Linked DNA regions of Arabidopsis thaliana. The protein of the gene in region 2 interacts with the protein of the main gene of each other region in a biochemical or structural test. Each region holds a gene or a part of one and is shown on either strand. Other genes may lie near its edges. The genes, in order: FIE and MEA.

What was found.
Region 1: the proteins of MEA (region 2) and FIE form a complex in vitro, tested with the Arabidopsis thaliana proteins (2 studies listed by BioGRID).

The regions. Positions count from the first base shown.
Region 1 is NC_003074.8:7,248,280-7,254,138, reverse strand, and holds FIE (Transducin/WD40 repeat-like superfamily protein), read left to right. Parts: upstream 1-1,686; 5' UTR 1,687-1,884; coding exon 1,885-2,061; intron 2,062-2,904; exon of another isoform or gene 2,905-3,092; coding exon 3,093-3,158; intron 3,159-3,257; coding exon 3,258-3,380; intron 3,381-3,467; coding exon 3,468-3,548; intron 3,549-3,640; coding exon 3,641-3,733; intron 3,734-3,827; coding exon 3,828-3,903; intron 3,904-4,009; coding exon 4,010-4,089; intron 4,090-4,181; coding exon 4,182-4,253; intron 4,254-4,338; coding exon 4,339-4,398; intron 4,399-4,483; coding exon 4,484-4,580; intron 4,581-4,682; coding exon 4,683-4,746; intron 4,747-4,828; coding exon 4,829-4,888; intron 4,889-5,014; coding exon 5,015-5,075; 3' UTR 5,076-5,260; downstream 5,261-5,859. Other genes in the region: AT3G20730 (PPR superfamily protein), read right to left, coding at 5,261-5,859. UniProt on the Arabidopsis thaliana protein: Polycomb group (PcG) protein. PcG proteins act by forming multiprotein complexes, which are required to maintain the transcriptionally repressive state of homeotic genes throughout development.
Region 2 is NC_003070.9:542,780-549,731, reverse strand, and holds MEA (SET domain-containing protein), read right to left. Parts: upstream 5,000-6,952; 5' UTR 4,937-4,999; coding exon 4,928-4,936; intron 4,760-4,927; coding exon 4,670-4,759; intron 4,101-4,669; coding exon 3,769-4,100; intron 3,671-3,768; coding exon 3,497-3,670; intron 3,420-3,496; coding exon 3,332-3,419; intron 3,221-3,331; coding exon 3,095-3,220; intron 3,006-3,094; coding exon 2,958-3,005; intron 2,862-2,957; coding exon 2,793-2,861; intron 2,709-2,792; coding exon 2,560-2,708; intron 2,485-2,559; coding exon 2,358-2,484; intron 2,270-2,357; coding exon 2,061-2,269; intron 1,985-2,060; coding exon 1,853-1,984; intron 1,763-1,852; coding exon 1,681-1,762; intron 1,599-1,680; coding exon 1,551-1,598; coding exon of another isoform or gene 1,479-1,550; exon of another isoform or gene 1,478-1,478; intron 1,422-1,477; coding exon 1,293-1,421; intron 1,208-1,292; coding exon 1,130-1,207; intron 918-1,129; coding exon 738-917; 3' UTR 530-737; downstream 1-529. Other genes in the region: AT1G02575 (uncharacterized protein), read right to left, coding at 5,749-6,579. UniProt on the Arabidopsis thaliana protein: Polycomb group (PcG) protein. Catalytic subunit of some PcG multiprotein complex, which methylates 'Lys-27' of histone H3, leading to transcriptional repression of the affected target genes.

The DNA.
Region 1 (5,859 bases), on a different chromosome or scaffold from region 2:
TATCCAAAATATCCGGAAAATTTCAATTTAATCGAATAAAAAAATTAGAATGGAAAGAATAAAAAATTATCGGGTACAATTAGAAGAGTAATGTGTTTAGTTTGGTTTTTACTCGGATACCAGTTCAGTTTTCACGTATTATTCGATCCTATAGGAGCAATTGTGAATTAGTTGTGAGATTTTGGGAGCATTCGCTTCCAGAACTTAGTGCTAGGAGAAATGCTATTTTCCTATAAGAGTTGTACGAGGAAGCGAGCAAGTACACAACAACCACAAAAGCTTTCAATACTTGTTTACTCCTAGGGTTTAAAACTAGAGGTTCTATAGATCTCTAAATTTTTTTGAACAAATGTGTTTTCCACACGTGATATTCTACAATACCACTCGAAAATTATCCATAATTGCTTTAAACTATTTTTTTGTTTAAATTATATAATTTGTACCGTTGTAAACTGATTATTTCAAATTATAATTAAAGCACTATAATTTCATATATTACATTCAACATATATTAAAATAAACTATAACCATGTATTTTTTTGTCTTCCTTTCCTATAAACATTGATTGGACTCTATCGTAAATTTTGTCGTTATCGCAAATTTTGTCGTTATCGATGAGTTTCTCAAAGTTTGGACCTTGATTATCTTGTTTGGAGATGTTCAAATCGTTATATCCAAATAGTGAACTTCTAATTTTCTTTTTTGATAATGTGACTTATTTGGAAAAGTATTCCAAAGTATTCAAATAAACCCTTTAAAAATCCATTAAATACATTTTAAATAAGTAAAATGCTCTCAACGAAGAGATATCATGGTAAATAACAACAGTGAGAGGATAAAATGTTAAATCAATTTATTTACAACTTCAAATAGGCGGACATCAAACCTACTTAGCACACTTTCTATTTTCAAATTGGTTATGGTTTGTCTATTAGTTGTTGCATCTATGTTTTTTAATTCTTATATCGGTGATCTTGATTTTGTTTTGGTGTATCTAAAATCTATTTTAGTTAAAGTGCAAGAAAATAAAATAAAAACTTAAGGTAAGAGATGAAAGTAAGCTTTAAATAAAACAGAGCACTTCTATGGTCGATTATAGAGCCAAGTTCGTTCCTCCATTTTGGCTTAATGCAATATTACAAGTAAATCTTATAAAACTTTCCATAAGTATCGTATTACCCATGGATACTATGATATATAAACTCTCGGAGGTGTAGTCCAGAAGAAATGATCCATATTTGCATACAGTAAACTTGATGGAAAAAATATGTGGTACTGTTGGAATTGTAGCTATTGAGTATCAAATTTGAGAAAAAGGTAAAAAAATATGTAAAATTTGGGTGGAAGAAAAGAATTACATAAAATTGAGAAATGTATGTAATTGACAAAATAATGTTTTCAAAACATAAAAACGTGATACCATTTAAATCCAAACCTTATATCATTTAACCATTTTTAGTAAAACTAATAGTAATGAATGGTCAATAATATAAGATTACATATTAAATAATTACTACTTTCAGAAAATTTCAATCAAATCTATAATATTCCTTTGAAAAAAAAGAAAGACAAATAGGTAAACTTCGATCGTATCAATCAAAGAATATATTTATTTTTCATCGTAACGTTTAATTCTAAGTCCTATTAAAAAACGTTAAATTTGATTTTTCTTACCATTTTTTTCTAAAAGGTGAGTTGTGTGTTGTGTCAGGTCCAAAATAAAAGTTTGTCGTGAGGTCAAAATCTACGGTTACAGTAATTTTAATAACCTGTGAATCTGTGTCTAATCGAAAATTACAAAACACCAGTTGTTGTTGCATGAGAGACTTGTGAGCTTAGATTAGTGTGCGAGAGTCAGACAGAGAGAGAGATTTCGAATATCGAATGTCGAAGATAACCTTAGGGAACGAGTCAATAGTTGGGTCTTTGACTCCATCGAATAAGAAATCGTACAAAGTGACGAATAGGATTCAGGAAGGGAAGAAACCTTTGTATGCTGTTGTTTTCAACTTCCTTGATGCTCGTTTCTTCGATGTCTTCGTTACCGCTGGTGGAAATCGGGTAAAAGATCTCGACTTTCAATTCGAAATCACTGTTTTCAATTCTGGGTCTGTTTAGGTTTTGATTCAGATTGATTGTAACATTAAGGCCTTTCCTTTTGTGTTTGATTTTGGATTCTGATTTCTAGCCTTTAGTGAGATTAAAAGATTGAAACTTTGCTTGATGCTATAGTCTAAGATTATGTAACATTTAGTTCAAACTTTCTGGTTTTGGAGATTTTGTGGAAGATATGGTTTTTGTTTTCTAATTTAAAGTGAACTCATTACCTTATACACTTGATTTGCATTCTGTTCTAAAAAAAATTGAAACTTTGGTTGATGTTGTTAGTCTGCTTATCTAAGGAGGTTCCTTTTGAAACGGTCATCAAGTGAGTTATGAAGCGTTTAGTTTAAGCTTTCCTGTATTGGAGATTTTGTGGAAGTTATTTTTTTTTCTAATTTTGAAACTAGATAGAGTGAAGTCATTACCTTATACATTAGACTGCTCTATTTTGTTTTCAATGTGGGTTCCGAATGTACCTGATAGTGGCTCTTTAGGCTCATTTGTATTCGTCGAAACATCGATCGGATACCCGTTTGGGCTTAGTAGGCTCTGATACCGCGTAAAGTTCTCGGGTTCCATGAAAAACCAATCGGTAATGAGTGGAGTTAATTTGTAATCGTCTTCGGTCGAGCATTTGGGATTAGTGGGCTTTGATACCATGTGAAAGTCCTTGGGGTCCAATCGGCAATGAGTAGAGTTAACTTGTAATCTTACACACTTGGTTAGGTCTCATTCTCTTTATAATGTTGTGTGCCTAACAGTTTCCGCACTAAGGTTGTTTGGTTGCTCAGTCTCAATATACTTATCTTAACTAGTTGTAGTTTTTTTCATCTTTCCTAGTTTCCGTTGGATTTTAAATTGAATGATTTACTAGTTAGAAATATTTGAGTTTCTCATAGAAGCTTTAACCAAGGGGTTCTTTCATTTAACCTTTACTTAGCTAGTTCATGAATCTCATTACTGCCATTGGTGTATCTCTTATTATGTAGATTACTCTGTACAATTGTCTCGGAGATGGTGCCATATCAGCATTGCAATCCTATGCTGATGAAGATGTAAGGAAGCATACATATTAGCTTTTCCATCAAATTAAAGTAAGTGATGTTTCACTGAGGCCATTTGGTTATATTTTGTCTATGTCCTCTGGAGAGCAGAAGGAAGAGTCGTTTTACACGGTAAGTTGGGCGTGTGGCGTTAATGGGAACCCATATGTTGCGGCTGGAGGAGTAAAAGGTATAATCCGAGTCATTGACGTCAACAGTGAAACGATTCATAAGGTATTATTGCATTTTTATGGATGTTCTATGTATCCTAGCAAATGATTCTATATCTTTCTTGTATAATCTGTGCTCGCAAATGTGCAGAGTCTTGTGGGTCATGGAGATTCAGTGAACGAAATCAGGACACAACCTTTAAAACCTCAACTTGTGATTACTGCTAGCAAGGTATATCTCTTGGCTTTCTTTTCTTCCTAAAGTATCCTGACTTCTTTTTTATTTGTTGGTGATTAAGAGCTGTTACGTTTTAATTGAATAAGGATGAATCTGTTCGTTTGTGGAATGTTGAAACTGGGATATGTATTTTGATATTTGCTGGAGCTGGAGGTCATCGCTATGAAGTTCTAAGTGTGGTGAGCCAATATTGTTTTATCTAATTCAGTTAGTTTTCTACAATAATATATAGAGACAATGTTAAGGGGAACCATCTTATTTTGAAAATTGTAGGATTTTCATCCGTCTGATATTTACCGCTTTGCTAGTTGTGGTATGGACACCACTATTAAAATATGGTCAATGAAAGGTACGATCGAGCACATATTGTAATAAACTTCCATTTTAAAAAACCTTTTGAGAAAAATGGCTTGTGGTTCGTTTGTATGATCTTCTTATTCTTTGGCTGTCTATAGAGTTTTGGACGTACGTCGAGAAGTCATTCACATGGACTGATGATCCATCAAAATTCCCCACAAAATTTGTCCAATTCCCTGTAAGTATTTTGTTTTAGCCTTGTCTTGTAACAACAAGTGACATACAAATATTGGTGATGGCCTTTGTAAATAACATTACTTCTATATGTAGGTATTTACAGCTTCCATTCATACAAATTATGTAGATTGTAACCGTTGGTTTGGTGATTTTATCCTCTCAAAGGTTAGTAAGTCAATGATGGTTAAGATTAATTCATTTGGTGTACTGTTAAAACACTTTACTCTTGTGTTGTTCTATCGGATTTTAGAGTGTGGACAACGAGATCCTGTTGTGGGAACCACAACTGAAAGAGAATTCTCCTGGCGAGGTTAGGATCTCATTGTTGCTCCAAACACAACATAATCATTCATTTCATCACATATATTTACAGTTGAACTTTTTGTGGTTTGCAGGGAGCTTCAGATGTTCTATTAAGATACCCGGTTCCAATGTGTGATATTTGGTTTATCAAGTTTTCTTGTGACCTCCATTTAAGTTCTGTTGCGATAGGTAATCAGAGAGCTCGTTAGATACAAATTTGCATTCTATAGATAGATTACTTCAACTTTTCTTATTCATTTTGTGACAAATTACTCGCTGGTTTGTTATCAGGTAATCAGGAAGGAAAGGTTTATGTCTGGGATTTGAAAAGTTGCCCTCCTGTTTTGATTACAAAGTAAGTTAGTTTCGGATTCAGATACAATGTTTGATCTTTAAGAAATGTTTTAGTCTTGACATGATTTTCTGTTGCCATATAGGTTATCACACAATCAATCAAAGTCTGTAATCAGGCAAACAGCCATGTCTGTCGATGGAAGGTATAAATCCATCTTCTCTCTCACCAATGCAGTGAAAATTTCTTAATGTTATTTATGACTCAATAGTTACTGTAAATCAAACCAAACTTTGGATTCTGACACACTGTTTCTTCCATGGGATTGTAGCACGATTCTTGCTTGCTGCGAGGACGGGACTATATGGCGCTGGGACGTGATTACCAAGTAGCGGTCTGAGTCTTGTAGGAATTGATGAATTAGGAGTGCGAAGAAATGAGATATCCATTCTTTTATTGTAATTCTGATCATGTTGCTACTCCCTGAGACCTTGAGATGCTCTTTGTAGCCTTGTTAACGTCCACCCTTGTACCACAGTGTATACCCTTTCTGGAGATTTTGTCTTATTCTCTTAGTTCAATACACAAGGCTGTATCCTGGAGCTTTATTGCAGGAACCACTCTCTTTCATAAGCTTTCTAGTATTCAAAGCATTGTCCCATGCTCCATTAGCTGCATACACACTGGCCAAATTGATGTAATTGACTGGTTTCCTCGGTTCCATACTCAGAAGCTGCGTGGCTGCTACTTTACTGAGCTGCACATTCCCATGGCGCCTGCATGCATCAAGAAAAGCTCCCCATGTTGATGAGCTAAGACTTACAATACCCTCTTTACTTCTTATCAGTGCATAAGCTTCTTCCAAGTAGCCACTGCGCGCAAGCATATCTATGATGCAAGATAAGTGCTCTTCTCGAGCTTCGATTCCGTGCTTGTTGATCATTGTGTCGTAAATCTTCCAGCCTAGTTCGGTTTGTCCTGTATGACTACAAGCAGAGAGGAGAGAAAGAAATGTAACGTCATTCGGTTTGATCCTTTCATGCTCCATTCTGTTATAAAGATCAATTGCTTTCTCAAAATTCCCATGTCTTCCATATCCTGCAATCAAAGAGGTCCATGATCTCACATCTTTCTCTTTCATCTCTTCGAAAGCCAGGACTGCATCCTCGATTTCCC
Region 2 (6,952 bases):
CCCGCCATTTAACCGTGGTCATTAACGATTCCACAAATCCAACATGTTTTTCACATCTTCATGTATATTTAGCATTTATATTTAGCAATAGTCGTTCGCGATTCCAAACATTTAAGTTTATAATTTAGATTTTTTGAAAATAGTTACTTTCGGATTTTAAAGAGCTTTTTTCTTTTTTTTTGTTTTTATTTGTTTAGATACTAAATGTTAGATGCATCAAATACATATTTACATTAAAGTAAAACCTTTCGTAAGCTACAGCCACTTTGTTGATGATTCTTCCATGTATTACTCAATAGACTACAAAATTAAATCTCGAAAAACGTTTTAAAACCAAACGAGCTAATACCTAAAATTCTAACTATACTTCATTCATAACCAATATTTTTTTTTAATGATAAAACCCATTATTTTGACATTTTTGTACATTACGTACCACAGACTTGTGTTATGTGATTTTTCGCTAAATGAAGACTAAATAAATGTAAAGTTGTGCAAAGCTTTTTTTTTCCAAAGGTCTATGCAAACTAACAACATAAACATTGTTTTTAAATTGAAATACAAAAAGAAAACTTTGAAAGTTAAGACACATATGATACAAACAAAACACCCTAAAACAAATAAAACAGAAACTTAAGTTTTGGTTTAGTAACACAAAATAGCATTACATTATTAATTGATATACCATAACATAAAAAAAGGACTGCTTGAATTGCTGCTTCTCCTCAGATCAAAAACTAACGAGCTGGACGGGCTTCCTTAGACCTTTTAGAAGCACCAGTCTTTCTAGGTTCTCGACCACGCGACCAATCCGCATGTTCTGGTCCATAGCAGTAGTCGAAGAAAAGCTCCTCACCTTCTTCGATTGCTCTCTCCGCAAATAGACCAATCCTCTGATCTCCTCTCACAATCATCAACTGCACACGAAACCATAAATTTTCGTAACCTAAATTTTCTCGACAAGAAAAAATCATTTAAAATGAGTTTGAGTTTCTTGGAATATCTTCAATATGAAAACCAATCAACGACGAGTAAAGTTGATACACGATTTAACTAAAGAAACTAACATAAGTATTTTTGTTTGTATAATGTTAGTATTTGTTCAAGATAAAGTATAACGGCTTAGTACCTTGGCGTAGCAGTTAGGTCTTGCTGAGTGATTGAGAAATTTGAACTCGTTTCCTTTACGGCGAGCATCGATTTCGAGCTGTAAAATAAATGTTACTTTGATTCGAATAGATGTGTAACCCGCGAATGATTAAAACGTTACTTCAAAATTATTCTGAAGTTACCTGATCATTCAAGGTAAAGAGGTAGGAAGAACCAATCCGATCTTCTATTCTCCCACGCTCATTAGCTTCATCATGAGTGATCAGTTCTCCAGTATATTCTCCGAGATACTCATTCTTTTTAAGAGAGTCCTGACGGGTCAAACCATATCACACAATATATTTAATGGTCTAAAGTATAAAACATTATTAAAAAAAAAAAAGTGTTATGAATGCACCAATAACTATTAAACTTATTCTTATATTTACATGATTGCTTACCCATGTAAATGCACCCCATCCATGAACATCAGACTTTCCAATGAGAATCTAGTAAAATACGGGAAATGATAGTTAAATGTCTTTCGTATAATTAGTTTTAAATTTTCGGTACGGATTTGACGTTGATTACCTTTTTATTGGTTTGAAGGAGGAATTGCATGTTCTTGCATTGGATTTGCACTGGTGTCTCACCAAGAGTGCCATCTCCACAGCTATATATAAAGTTTTTTTTATAAGACTTTTGGTTTGAATTACTTTGATTATAGAATTTGTATAAAGAGATATTGAAGTGAAAGTGTTACCTAAGAGGACAACTCCGACAAAGATCTGGATCGCATTCACGATTAGCAGCAAAACAAGGACATTGTCGATTTGTGCATTGGCCAATTGCACAATTACATCCTCCAAAGCGATTGTTGCAATCCTTTGAGCACCTGAACAAAAAATACAAACTCATGTTCAAATTAAATCTCATGGATCTTCCGGCTTAGGAAAAATTGAATGACATACCCGCAATATTTCTCGCAGCAATTTTCGTGAGTTAAACAAGGGCATTGCTGTCCACATTTTGACTTGCAAGTGCATGGTGTGTAGTGCTTATAAAACTTAGCTTCTCCACTAGTTGTTTTCTTTAAAGCAGGCGGATAACGAGCATATTTTCGGAGTCTCGATTTTTTGCGGACCGACCTACTACTTTTTCGAGATACTTTTTTGGTAACCTGTGATAAAACCATCAACACATATAGGAAACTTCATGTGTTTTTAACATACATGTCATGAGAATAATTACGACATAGGTTAGTGTACCTGATTGTGTCTTTGTGTAGTTTTGTTAAGGTCTAATGACATAGTACATTGATCTTGTTCGCGCATGTAATTGTAAATCTCTAGGCACGTCTTAAGCCCCCGAAGTATGTTTAATGCAACATCACAACTGCGAACCAGCATAATCAAGGAATACAGTGTAAGTATATATATTAATGCATTAAATCTATTTTTATTTTTTTACCTGTTTCTCCCAAATATCTCAATTCCTTTCAAGTAAAGATCCTTCTCTACAGGCGTCCACATAGTGTTGTTTGGATCTGAGACCACAATCTTGTTTGATATAGAGTTATCATTATCCATCACATGATCAGCTTCTGTCACACTCCTCACCTATTTAATATTAAACCAGTAACTAATAAACGTAATTAAGGAATAGACAAAAAAATTGAGAGAGAGAGGGAGAGAGATAGAGACCTTGAGGTAACAATGCTCACTGCATGGTTGTCTATCTTCATCCTCAAACAAACTAGATTTGTCTTCGCTCTGACAAGCCAAAGCAATCTAATTAAGTTAATCACTTAACCTTATATATAAGGGTTGTGAAACTAACAAAATAATTTAAATGAATTTAATGCTTACGGATCTAGACTCGGGCTCATACTTCTCATGCATATGACAATCGAATATCTGTAAAACAAATGATAAAATAAAATAAAAACATGTATGATCATCTCCCTTTTTTGTGGCTAAATTAAAAAAGAAAGATTCAAAGTTACCATGCAACGACGGCAATGACGTCTATCAGCAAAATCCTGGAAAGCAGTAGTTATTGTCTTGGATGTCAAATCAGAAGCCTCACCAGCAGTTCCATCATTCTTAAGCTTGAGTTCATTGTATCTTTCCTACATTAGATTTGAAAATTTAAAACATTTCTCACGACGAAAAACAACAAAAATTAAATAAGCAGGAAAGTTATTGATCGACGTATGAAGTTTTTATTCGAATATTGTTACCAATATGTCCGAAACATCCACTTCGAGGTACTTGGCGAGAGCACGCCGCACGACCAGATCATCCAAACCATAGTCCTGCCCAACCGTCCTGAAAATTTCTTGAGCAGTTTATTAAATATGGACTACAAATTAATAATCAAGAACATATGTAATGCAAAAACTAACCATATAAATCGGTCTACATCTTCAGAAAATTCGCATTTTTCTTTCTTGATTTCTTCCTCATCTTCTTCTTCATCTTCCTCATCTTCTTCACTGCTCAATTCTAGTGCCTCACCATTCAAATAATAGATTTGTCTCTTACCAATCACAGAATCACTTTCAGCCATCAGCTGGCTACTGCAATGTTAAAGAAATGTATATATGCACTATGAGTGATTACTATATAGTATATGATTAATATTTTGAAACTAGTACGAAACAAAAAACACACATGCCTTTTGGTGAAGACCCATGTAATGGATCGTGGTAGCTTCTCAACAATTGGAAGCTTGACACTTGGTAATAATGGTACATCTTCATCAAGAAATAATGGTACATCTTCTTCAAGAGCATAATCTTGATCCTCATCAAGAACATAACCTTGATCTTCGTAAGAATTATAATCAGATGAGGCACTGAAATGACGAAGTGGGTTTTGCATTCTCGACAAAAGTGATTTGTTGTCTCCTCCATTATCATCCTCTGCAGCGGGCTGGTTTAAGTCAAACGATTGATGGTGTGAAGCATGAGTAGCCACACTTGGAATGTATCTCAGCTCGAATTTTCTCTGTTAATCAAGTAATATATAGGTAAATGATTTTTTAAATTTCAGAAACTGGACTCTATATATAGTGAAACTAGAATACTTGAATACAAAAGTTTTGATTTCGATTTCTTGATATATGCATCAATCTTGGCTTTTTTGGCTGAATGTTAAAAAAAAAACAATTTGGACCTATTTAGTTTCTTTGTACTAAAAAAAACAAATTGTATTACTATTTTGTTTGACAAAAACAAAAAAATCTACTATTATTTTCAATTTTATTTTATAACCTAAGTTCCAGCTTTATATTATAAATATATTAATTATTTTTTTATTCTAAGTTTTGGATACCCGACAGATCTGGATGTCGTTATCGATTCGCTGGCATTTTCTAAATTCTGTTTTTAATTTAAAAGTTTGGAAATTTCTCTTTTTAGTTTTAAAGATTATGACTAATGTATAACTGTTTATTAGATGTATCTTAACATCTCTTTGGAATCGTATAGTTATGAGATTAAGTCCTCTCCTCTCCTTAATTTTCAGAAAAACATACAGAAGAGAATAAAATATTAAAGCAACCAAATGTCTCTTACCTTGATATGCAGAAATCTCTCCTTTTCGATTTGCTCTTTTATCTGATTTAGTTCGGGTGGCAAACCCTCACCATCGTCCTCATGGTTTTCCTAGACAAATTCAAAAATAAAAGTTTTATGGATCATGCATGGGACGAATAACATAATAGATCACAAGAAAATTCAACCCTAAATGTTATTGATCTATCATAAACACACAATTAAAATATATGGATTTCATAACCTAGTCAATTCATATATGTTTGGAGTGAAACTAACCTTCTCCATTAACCACTCGCCTCTTCTTTTTTTCTCGTCTTCTCTGATGTTGGTGAAAAGGATAATGCAAAGGGTTTTTTAAATAAGAAGTTGATTTTTTTTTGTAGAAAACCTTATTAAGGAAAATTATAATCTGGAAGAAACGTATTTGGACTTGCTTGCTTTAAAAGGAAAATAATATGGGAAATTTAAGAAAATTTTAATTTTCAAAATATAGTACTATATGTATGTAGATGTTGGGTTTGCTTGACGTTTGACAGCTCAAGTTTAAATTCATATACAATATTATAAAAAAAAAGGCGTTAACTCATATTTATGTGACAACTTGGTTTAGTAAACCAATGAAAAAATGTTGATAGATCAATATATACATTTTGGAGTGTCCGGTAAGACTTATATTAATGTCATTATATATATTAGTATTCATTCCTAGCTAGTTTTCTATTTAAGCTTATATATTATGCATATATGGAAGAAACAAAATGAGTTTAAATCTTCAAAAATATATATATGGCTATATTATTCAATTCGTAAATTTAATTATACGCATTTAAAACTTCTACGTAAATCCGATATTTTTTACTATTTATAACGTTAATTAAATCTCCAAGTTTTTCTTAAAAAGGGTGTGTTATAAAAATATAATTATAAAAAGACTTAAATTAATGTTCAATGGTTATTTTTAGATAAAATATTTTTGCTTTCTGATATTCTACTATTTTTGTGACATATATACGGGTTAAATTCCTAGCAAGAAATAGAAAATAAAAATAAAAAAATCTCAAAAACATTCAAGAGATGAGTATAATATGTCAAATATCTTACACATGATCATCATTACACATATCATCAAAAACACATGATTCACAGCCTTTTCTCGACCTCTTAATGCTCAAAGTCAACGTATTCACAAAATCCAAAAACCCTTTGAAGATCTTCATTAAACCAATTCCAACACAGATGTAATACATACACCAGTTCACAAAATTGAGACCCTCCAAACGAATGGGGAGGTTAAGTCTATCCGCCGTAACCACCACCACAAGACTTTCTACCTCATCTCTTAGCCTCCACCACCACATTATACCAAAGGTCACTGCCACAACGGCTCTCTCGGACCACCTCTCCTCCACGTAGACCCCATATATAGTGTTGTCAACCACAGGCTTAACCACGACTCTAAACCACATCAGCATCACTTCGTGTAGCCCCAAAAAGAACAAAACCCTAACCAACATCCATCTTTCATGTGTCGCAAGAAACAAGTTTTTGTCTGGATTTATAGACATGGTCGTGCTCATGGTTCTTTTGATCCCAAAGGCACAAGCTTGGGCGATGAAGAGAACGATCCAGCAGATGTAGAGATGGGAATGGAGAACAGAGCATTCTGGTTTTCCTGAGAGACTGTGGATTAAAGTGAAGACGATGATGAGAAACAAGATCGTGTATAAGACTCCGACATCTGCCTGGTGAATAACAGAGGAAACGCCGGAGACGGTGACCGGAGTTGAGGAGGTATAGAGAGAGAGACGTGAAAGAAAGAGGAAAGATAGAGGGAGGAGGAGGCTAAGAAAGCTAATGGAGATCATTTGAAATGGTCGAATCAGGGACCAGCTGTTTCTTGTGTTCTTTTGTGTTTCTTCATGTTCCATCTTAATTCGCAAAGATTGAAACACTGAGAAGAAGAAAGAAAATGGGATGATACTGTTTCTTGAATGTGAAGGAACAGAGGATGTAAGAAAGATCTATATAAAAGCATTAAGACTGTAATTGGCAGCCACGTCTATGGTCATCTAGCTACAAAGGTTTGATCTTTTCGTCTTTTCGAATGATTCAATATAATGATTTCTGTTTTGTTACAATCACCACAAAGGTTCCCTTTCTTATTTCTCTATTTTTTGGTCTACACTATACATCAAATTATAAAAACATGTCCAAACTTATGGTAATGAAAAGCCCACCAGTTTTAAAATATAGGTTTACCGATGAACACAGCCGGCAGATGGATAATCGTCGTGTGTTTTT